2 linked regions of the Drosophila melanogaster genome follow. The protein of the gene in region 2 interacts with the protein of the main gene of each other region in a pairwise test. Each region holds a gene or a part of one and is shown on either strand. Other genes may lie near its edges.

Evidence for each region. Proteins that work in one complex are often made in the same cells at the same time.
Region 1: the proteins of CG9101 (region 2) and CG1636 interact in a two-hybrid assay, tested with the Drosophila melanogaster proteins (one large-scale study listed by BioGRID).

What each region holds. Positions count from the first base shown.
Region 1 is NC_004354.4:8,271,554-8,276,739, reverse strand, and holds CG1636 (uncharacterized protein), read right to left. Parts: upstream 3,329-5,186; 5' UTR 3,193-3,328; coding exon 2,986-3,192; exon of another isoform or gene 2,934-2,985; intron 2,461-2,933; coding exon 2,114-2,460; intron 2,032-2,113; coding exon 1,532-2,031; intron 1,473-1,531; coding exon 1,378-1,472; 3' UTR 539-1,377; downstream 1-538. Other genes in the region: CG15343 (uncharacterized protein), read left to right, coding at 3,533-4,047, 4,119-4,245; CG1632 (uncharacterized protein), read right to left, coding at 4,621-4,800.
Region 2 is NC_004354.4:15,228,236-15,231,805, forward strand, and holds CG9101 (uncharacterized protein), read right to left. Parts: upstream 1,641-3,570; 5' UTR 1,457-1,640; coding exon 1,200-1,456; intron 1,108-1,199; coding exon 768-1,107; 3' UTR 509-767; downstream 1-508.

The DNA.
Region 1 (5,186 bases), 7.0 Mb from region 2:
ATACTTTTTACTGAGTTTTTTTAAATTGAAGAAATTTTTTAGTTTACAGACCTAATACGTAAATATGTTGTACAATTAAACAGTTCTAAAATCGATTCCGATTATGAAATGAGCAAATGAGAATTCATGTTGAGAACGTACGATTGCAAGGATATCAAAAACAAAGTTTCGAAGGAAGAAACGCGAAACCTAAAACCAAATGAGAAACCGAAATTTAACTAGAGAATTCTTTTCAAATATCAAATAAAGCAAGAACATTAATAATATAATATAATATTTCAGCCACGATGGGAGAGCTAAGAAGTGAATAAAACAAACGAATGCAACCAACCCAGTAACAACAACAACAACACACACACACATTTCAATTGCGCTCGTTTAGCCCATATATAGTATATTTCAATTAAAAGAACGAAAAAAAAAACAACACATTACAATATTTCAATATGTCATTAAGTCACAGCGAATAAACAACAACAATAAGTTGAAGGCGACTTACAAATCTAAACGAGAGAGAAACTGCGATCGTGTGTGCGAGGGAGAGAGAGAGAGAGAGAGTTGGTATAGAGATATAGTAACTATATGTATATATATCATCAGCGACGATCTCCGTTGGCGCCAAAAATCGAGCGATACTAACTAAATTTGCTAAGGTCTTTCAGCCGCTTGGTTTATGCGTGCTGTCTAAATCGTGATTGGTAGATATTACATTTAATATTGATCTAGAGTTTTTATAAATAATTGTTAACTAGTGACAACAGTGCGTCAATTGTTGTATTGCTCGCATCGAAACGCACTGTGGTTTATTATCGAATAAGTACTATTAGAACAGTGCGTTTGGCAACAGTCGAATTCGACGTTTTAAAGATATATAACATTATTTTAAATACTTCTAGGAGATTAATTTTGTAAGCCTCACTTTTCGATTTTTGCGTATATAGCCTTTGAGATTATCTGCACGTTTGATTTATCGTTTATATTCATGTTTTAATTTTGACAACCTTTAGTTGTTATGTTCTTAACGCGTATATTTGAATCGTTGAGATATTTAAATAATTTTTGATTAAAAGCTACCAACTGATATTTTTAAAGTCTTTACAACAAAAACGTTGACAAATTTACAAATTTTCAAGTGTTAAATATTCCTATTTTTTGATTACGATCTGAATGTTGGCCAAAACGCACTGTTCGCGCTGATCGCGTTCTAGCTAACACGCATAAACCGAAATCAGCCTGAGTGAGAGAGAGAGAGAGAGCGCTAGTTTCAACTTTGTGAGTTATTAGCCTAAGCTGAACTTGTGTCTTTTTTGGTTTGGTTTAAGGAAATGTGGTTTTCTACTGTGTAAAAGTGTGCTGCGTCCGTGCGGTAGGACGCGATTAGGTATCAATGGCCTGGTCATCGTTGTCATCCTCCGGCTCATGGCCACGTCCCTCGCGAATTCGCTTCAATTTGCGCTTAAGCATCATGACGCCTGCCAGGGAAAATGATTGTTAATCAGATATTCAACATCGGTTAGTGCAGGAAGCTTACATTTTATGGCCTGAAAGGTTTTGGCCGAGGCCGAACTGGTTTCGGAGGGCAGCGAATTGGACGTGGTTCTAATGTGTGCCAGCTTTACCTCCAAATAGGCCTTCTTCAGTGTCTTGTAGTGCCGGAACTCACTGGTGTCCTTGACCAGGATGCACTTAGCCGCCGATCCCTCGCCCGAACAATCCGACGGCGCTGTGTGATATATCTGATGGTAGAAGTATTGCAGCACCGGCGAGTTCCAAATGGAGAGGCCGTACCACAACCAAATGGGCACATTCAGGGAAAGCTTAAAGTTCTTGGCGAACAGCGTGGGTATGAAGTACTTAAAGGGCAGTAGGTTGACAAACACATACGCCCACACCATGATGCGCAGACCGAGGAAAACCTGGTAGATGATCCGGTGTGAATTGGTGCTGGGCAGGACCAACAGGGCTAGCACCTCGGTGAGTATGCTGTACAGACCCACCGTTAGATTCAGGCCCACAAAGTAGTTTTCGTACCTAAAAATAAAGAGTATTTAATATTTTCGAGCTTAAATGGCTCCAGGCTAGAATGGTAGGGACCAAACGTGTCTCGACTTGCCTGTAAACATCGATGGCGACGAGGGACAGCAGGTAGAGTCCCTTGGAGCCCACCTCCAGGAAGTCAGCGTCCTTGAAGTCCAACCACGCCCCATGCAGGTAGAACGTGATAATGAAGATCGAGTAGAACTGAAACTTTTCCGCCTGATGAGATCGATAGAAGATCAGGTTCTCCGAGGAGTAGAAGAGCGAGTAGCGTCCTTGGTTCTTCATCAGCTGCGGCAGGATCATGAACTCGTTGTAGAAGTGCAGGAACAGGCAGCTGGCCGCATAGAAGGCGATGTTCCAAATGACGCGGGCGAACAGCCTCCGCTGAAAGTGCTTCATGCTCGACGACTTCAGAAAGAACTGAAAAGGGAGAGGAGCAATTAGTCGAGCATTGGTCTTGGGTCACTACAGATAATGGTTTATATGGCTTATGGTCAGCGCCGATGGGTCGACTGTCACCGGACTTATGCTATCACCAAAGCCAGGAGCGAAGTGCCAACCGAATGGGGAAGGAAGTACATCTGAATCCCTTAAACAATGACTGTCGGGAGTAAAATCAATACTATCTTCGCCTTATATTGATTTTACAAGAGACAACATATTTAAATAATAATCATTTACAGCTTAGTTGCAAGCCAAAACAATACAAAAAGTGCCGCATTTCGTTGTGTTTTGAAGCTTTTCAAAGGGTTGGTAACAGTATTTTTAGCGCCCCACTCGGTTGGCACCCCGTCCACCCCCGGAATGCGCGAATCCGGCACCGTGTCCGCTCTGTTTATTTATAAACGGCAAATTGGCCGAGCAACCCCTCAAAAGAAAAGTGCAATTGGAGGCGCCGCGTCGAGGGTGCTGCGATTGAAAGGATTTGCCACGTGCTGGACCCACCTGGAAGAGCCGCTGGAAGGCGTAGTAGCCGCAAGACAACGCCACGAATATCCAAAAGACCCCGTTGATCAGGTAATAGAGGTCTATGTCCCGCACCATCGAATCGAAGCGGTCGTTGGTGATCAGGTATTTCAGCGGCAGAAAGAAGTTGCTGATCTCCGCCCAGTAGTCGGGCGGACCGGCCTTCATGTCCAGAATGGAGGTCATGCTGCTCCTCGGCGGGATTTCCCGTTCTGCCGCCCCAGAATCGCGAGTTGGTGTTCCTCGTTTTCAGCCGAAAATTGGGAGAATTTGTTTCGTTTCTATGTATCGATAGTAACCGATAGCTTCGCAAATATAACGTGAAATCAACGGCTATCGATTATAGAACCGCTGCAAAGTACTGCGCTTCTGTTACAGTGCTGTTAGCGTTAACAGCGCGCAAAGTGCGCCAAATTTGAATGACAGTACATTACTTCAGTTATAAGGGGCTTTACCAATTAACATTAAATGTGTATTACATTTTCAAAATGTATAAGAATATTTTTCGCTTCAAGGACCCACCAATATGACCTCCTCTTTGGCCAAAATCGAGGACTTTCCCTCCGATCCCGTTGAATTTTTTAAGGAGATCCTTCAGGAAGCTGCCAAGGGACATCCCGATGGATTCATACAGGAAATGAACCTGGCCACCGTGGACGAGGAATTCGGTGTGCTCAACCGCACTGTTCTGTACCGCGGACTCACCCAGGATAACTGTGTGTTCTACATCACCCATCGGTACGTTCGCAACTTCAAGAACCTTCAGGCCAATCCCAAGGCCTGCATCACCTTCTATATGCCAGATGTTAAGGATAAGGCCGGAAATCAGAATGCCTGGCAGGTGAGATTGATTGGAGCCACCGCCGTGGAACTTGACCAAAGCGAAATGGATGCTTTGTGGGCGAAGGAGAATTTGGCTGCCCAAATCAGGGGTCACATCTGTCCCTGTGGAGAACCGATTAACTACGATGATCTCAAGGCAAAGCACGATCAGTTCCTTCTGGATCACAGAGGAAAATCCATCGAGAGACCAGCAAGCTAGTGAGTTTCGAAGTTTATATGTATATCTATATTTAGTAAATTAACATATACATAATTACAACTTCTTCTAGTACCGCTTGGAAATTCCAACCGCAGCGTTGGGACTTCCTGAAGGTGGGTCTCGACCAAATCGCAGACCGGGTGCAGTACCGCCTTCAGAAGGATGGGAAATGGAAATCCATGCACGTGTCCACCTAATTGTGGTATACCCCCAGTAAAGCCATTATCTTGATTTTGGACGATTTCATTTTATTCAACAATATCTTTCTACAAACAGCTAAACGTACAGACTAACAACTAAATTTGCTTCCTTTTCGACATGTTTAACATACAATTACAACATAGTTAATAAATATTACACAAAACAGCAAAAAAAAGGACGTTTAAAGAATACAGTTAGCATAGAGTTACATAGGTTCGAGTAACATTAGAGCAGGTTAGTTACATAGTACATATGCTTAATTGCCTTACTTGCTTTGCTACACACACACATAATACCCAGTGAGTTTCGGTTCCGTTTTCTACACAAATGCGCTGAGGGGCGTGCCGCCGCCCCCTGGTGAACTATCCCGACTATATCGCGCTGATCGTCTCGCGGATCCAGGCGGCATTCGAGGCGATCTTGTCGTACATCCTGGGCCGCTCCACGCCCGTGGGTCCGCACGCGATCCGCCAGGAGGAGACCCCAATGAGCGCCCACTGATTCGTTCCGGGAATCAGGCACTGGACAGGCGCTCCCGAATACTCCTCTTGCTGAAAATGAACAATATGAAATTCAAAATATAATAATAAAATATAATTTTGGTCCACTCTAAAAAATGATATATAGTTTAAATTTTGGTTGCCAACAGTTTCTGTCCACTTTCAAATTAAATATTTTAAAAATAATTTTGTAATATTATAATAGGATCCACTCTGTTTTTTCAATATTTCACCATTGAATTAAACTCGTGCCACCCCAATTGGCGATCGTGACGTCACACGCACGCGACATGCAGCAACGCGCTTGGCGTAGAGCAACAAAAACAAGCAGTCGAAGCAATAACAAAGTTGAATGAGTAATTTTTGCTTCTCTTTTTTACTCTCTCCAATTGCCATTCAATGTGAGCACGAGCGAACACACATAAGCAACCCCCGTT
Region 2 (3,570 bases):
ATGTGCAACGGGAGCTCGGCATCTCCATCTGCATTTCATAAGCGCAGCAGCACAGAAGCACCTCTGCTGTCGGCCACAGTGACAGCCCTCTATGATGGACATAAAGCATCCACTGACTCGGCACAAATTGAAAGCATAGAATTACACGCGTGCAGCTTGTGGTAAATCTTACATTTTGCAATTGCCTTTCGCTTGGCTCTACAATTTGAGTCAAAGTCTGTGTTGCAACATAGGTAGGTGGCTAGCTGGCTGGCTGCTCGGGAAACATTTATTACGTCATTTATTGTCGACCGCAATTTTCAATGCAATTTTCTATTGAATTTTACAGTTATTGGTCATCGTGTGGCCCATTTGGAATTTCAATTAATTAACGACAAATATTAGTAACTAAAATCTGTCACTGCAGATAAGAGATACTTTTTCTAAAATCTACATTTCATGATCATGTTATAAATATAATTAAGTGCGAATATTAACAACAGACATACCAGAAAAAACTGGGCTTATTGAAGTTTAAATATTTATTTTACACAGAACATACAAATTATTTATCTACTTGGCTTCAATTTATCAATTTGAACTAAACGCTGCCGCGTTTAATTTCCGAGCATTCACTGTGACTAAATTCACTTGAAGTAGACATCCTTTTTGGTCACATCTGCAGCCGGGAAAACTACGAAAATGGATTCAAGTCCTATGATTTAAATTAATAAAGCCGTTTCTCTAGCATCGTGTTTTTGGGCGGATAAACGGACAACTGCATCCGGTTAGCGGAACCAGGTCCAAAACTTCCACCACCTGCGGTTGCCACGCGCATTTGGCGGCGGCACAGCGGGAGGTGGCATCACCTGGGGCGGCACCACCGGCATCATTGGCGGCTCCATGTCCGCCAAGTCGTCCACGCGATTCTGTGTGGCACGCACCACGCAGTTGCGGTACTCCTCCATAGCTGCAAAGCAGTTGCACGACCGCTGGCGGTGCGCCTGGAGGCAGCTCTGCAGCCGGGCGGCCACATCCAAGCACGGTGACTCCACCGCCACCGGCCCCAGATGGCCCTCCACCTGCTGAATCAGTCGATCGAATTCCGCGTAAATGGCCTCCGTTGGCCTGAAATGAAAATCGAGATAATCACGAATTTTCACCACTGCTCTTTTAAAAATTTTCAAATATTTTTGATGACCTTGCTGCAGGATACTCACATTCGTTGGATATCGGTGGTGAAGCTGCGCGATCTTATGAGGCGTCTGGAAACGGGCATCGGCTGTGGATACTCCTGTTTGGGAATCGGTTGTCCATCCGGTTCCTGCTTCGTCTGCCCCGGCAACGCTTTCTCCGTCTGGTCCGATTTTTCCGACCTCTTGGTCGTCGAATCCTGCTTTTGCGGTGGGTGTGGTCCTGTTCCTGGTCCTGCACCGCCACCCTCGGCACGCGTTTCGCCGGCCAACTGGGCGCCCATTTGGAGTGTGTGCTCGGATAATCCCAGCTAGATTCGCTCTGTGTGTACTTTTGTGGTTGGGTCTGGGTTAAACCTGTGAACTGGTGTACTTATGTTGGTGTTTTTAGTTCTTTGTTTTTTGTCAAACAGATACAATTTTCATAGCTAGAGATTTTGAGTTGCTAAACTAACTGATGGGGGAAAGTGAAATCGCTTTCTGTTTGTTCTGATGAAATTTGTGACTTAGCACTCCTGGGTAAAAATAAATTGGAAATTGTATATGTGCCTTCTTAAGTTTTTTAAAATGGTAGAAAATCCAAGTCTAGAGTTTAGGATTAGAATACCAATTTAACTTTGTTTACATATTGTGCATTTAGGAACGAACATTTTCATCCCAAGTATGATGGTACAATTTTATTACACTCTTTGTGAATTCGGACTACGGATGAATATATTTTATTACTTGTTAGCCATTCAATTAAAATTCCAGTGCTTCATTGATCCCATCTCATGCAGCTGTCCATTTTTAAGTATTTTGACCGGGGCATCCGGAGGATTTGTCGTTTAGGTGATGATCCACAATGTACCACCTCTGCCCGAATTGCCACGAATCCACCGGAATTTTAGCTTAATTGCGCATTAGAGGGAAAAGTTTTCCTGTTTCCTGCGAATGGCCACAACGCAACACATTTCGAAAGTTCAGCCAGACAATTTGACGATGGGCCATGGCCACGATGTCCATCAAATGCAGGCATTCTCCGTACTCCGGCTCCGGCTCCGGTTCAAGCTTCGCTTCCGAATCCGGCTCATCCGGGTGCATCAATGTCCGGATACGGGACTCTACCAAGACACCCTCCCCACAACACAGACTAATCAAGCCAAGGCAAAAGTAAGGGCCAAAAGCAAAGTCCACCTGGGCTACAGGTGCAAGTGAGGAGTGAGGGGGGGGGGGGTCGGGGGGTCGGAAAAACTTCTCCGGCTGCCGGCTGGGCATAAAAAAGTCAAGAAGTTTGTTGCGGCTGGCATTTCGTTATTGGAATTTTCATTGGCCACAAAAATACTTTTTCGATTAAACTTTAACGGCGCGTAAAATGCGAAGCCGGCGTCGCCAAATGGCCGGAAAAATGCCAGAGCCGCCGTGCAGGCACCGATGCCAAATCAGAAAATGATTAATTACGGAATGCTTTGTGTGGGTCGAAGTCCAGGAACCCGGGAACCCAGGAACCCAGACGCCCAGGCTGCCAGGATCTACTTGCTGCGCGGCCTGCCAAATGCCAATTAGCGGAAATATTTCACGCGGCCGACGTCGCCGACTAATGGAAATAAATTAGTTTCGCTCTCTCCGTTTTTTTTTTTTCGCCGGCCAAAGGATCCTCAACGAAAATGTTAAATACGCATACTTCTGGGTTCCAGAGTCCTGGGATCCTGGCGCCCTGCGGTCCCCGGGTGAAAATGTCATGTCCGAATGGAAATACACACATAGTGCATACAGTCGGGAAAATCAGCGCCGTGGGCAAATTTGGCGGACGGCACCCACAGTCCTTCGTTAACTGCGAAATATCCGATGCTGCCACAATTCACTACTGTCCACATGCAAAATGTTTTCGGGCAACAGAACATGCCACTTGGCTATTTTATGAATATTTCATATTTATGAATATACTATACTATACTTCACATAAAAAATATGAATACCACTCAATTTTAGAGTCCGGAATACTCGAAAAATAAAATTTACCCACAATTTTAAAATTCATACCTATTTTATCGCTATTTCAATTTAATTCAATTAATAACAAGCAAACTATTAATGCATTTTCACTAACACAATTTCTTGTATATAAATTACTAAAAATCTTAATCGATTGATATTTACAAGACGATATGAATATGAAGTTCAACAGCTGCACAAATCCTGCGAAAATAGTGCCAAAAATGCTGTTGTAATTCGTGGCCTACATAAAAATAATCCCCAACAACTGCAGATATTTTAAAGGCAGGACCTCGCTTCTATCAACATTTTTTTTTTTTTTTTTTTGGCTTAATCCATGGTTGGCAACACTGTTTGCAGTGAGTTGAAAGGTTCATTAGTTTCCAGTTGCAGCATTCAGCAATGCACAAGTCCATAGTGCGTG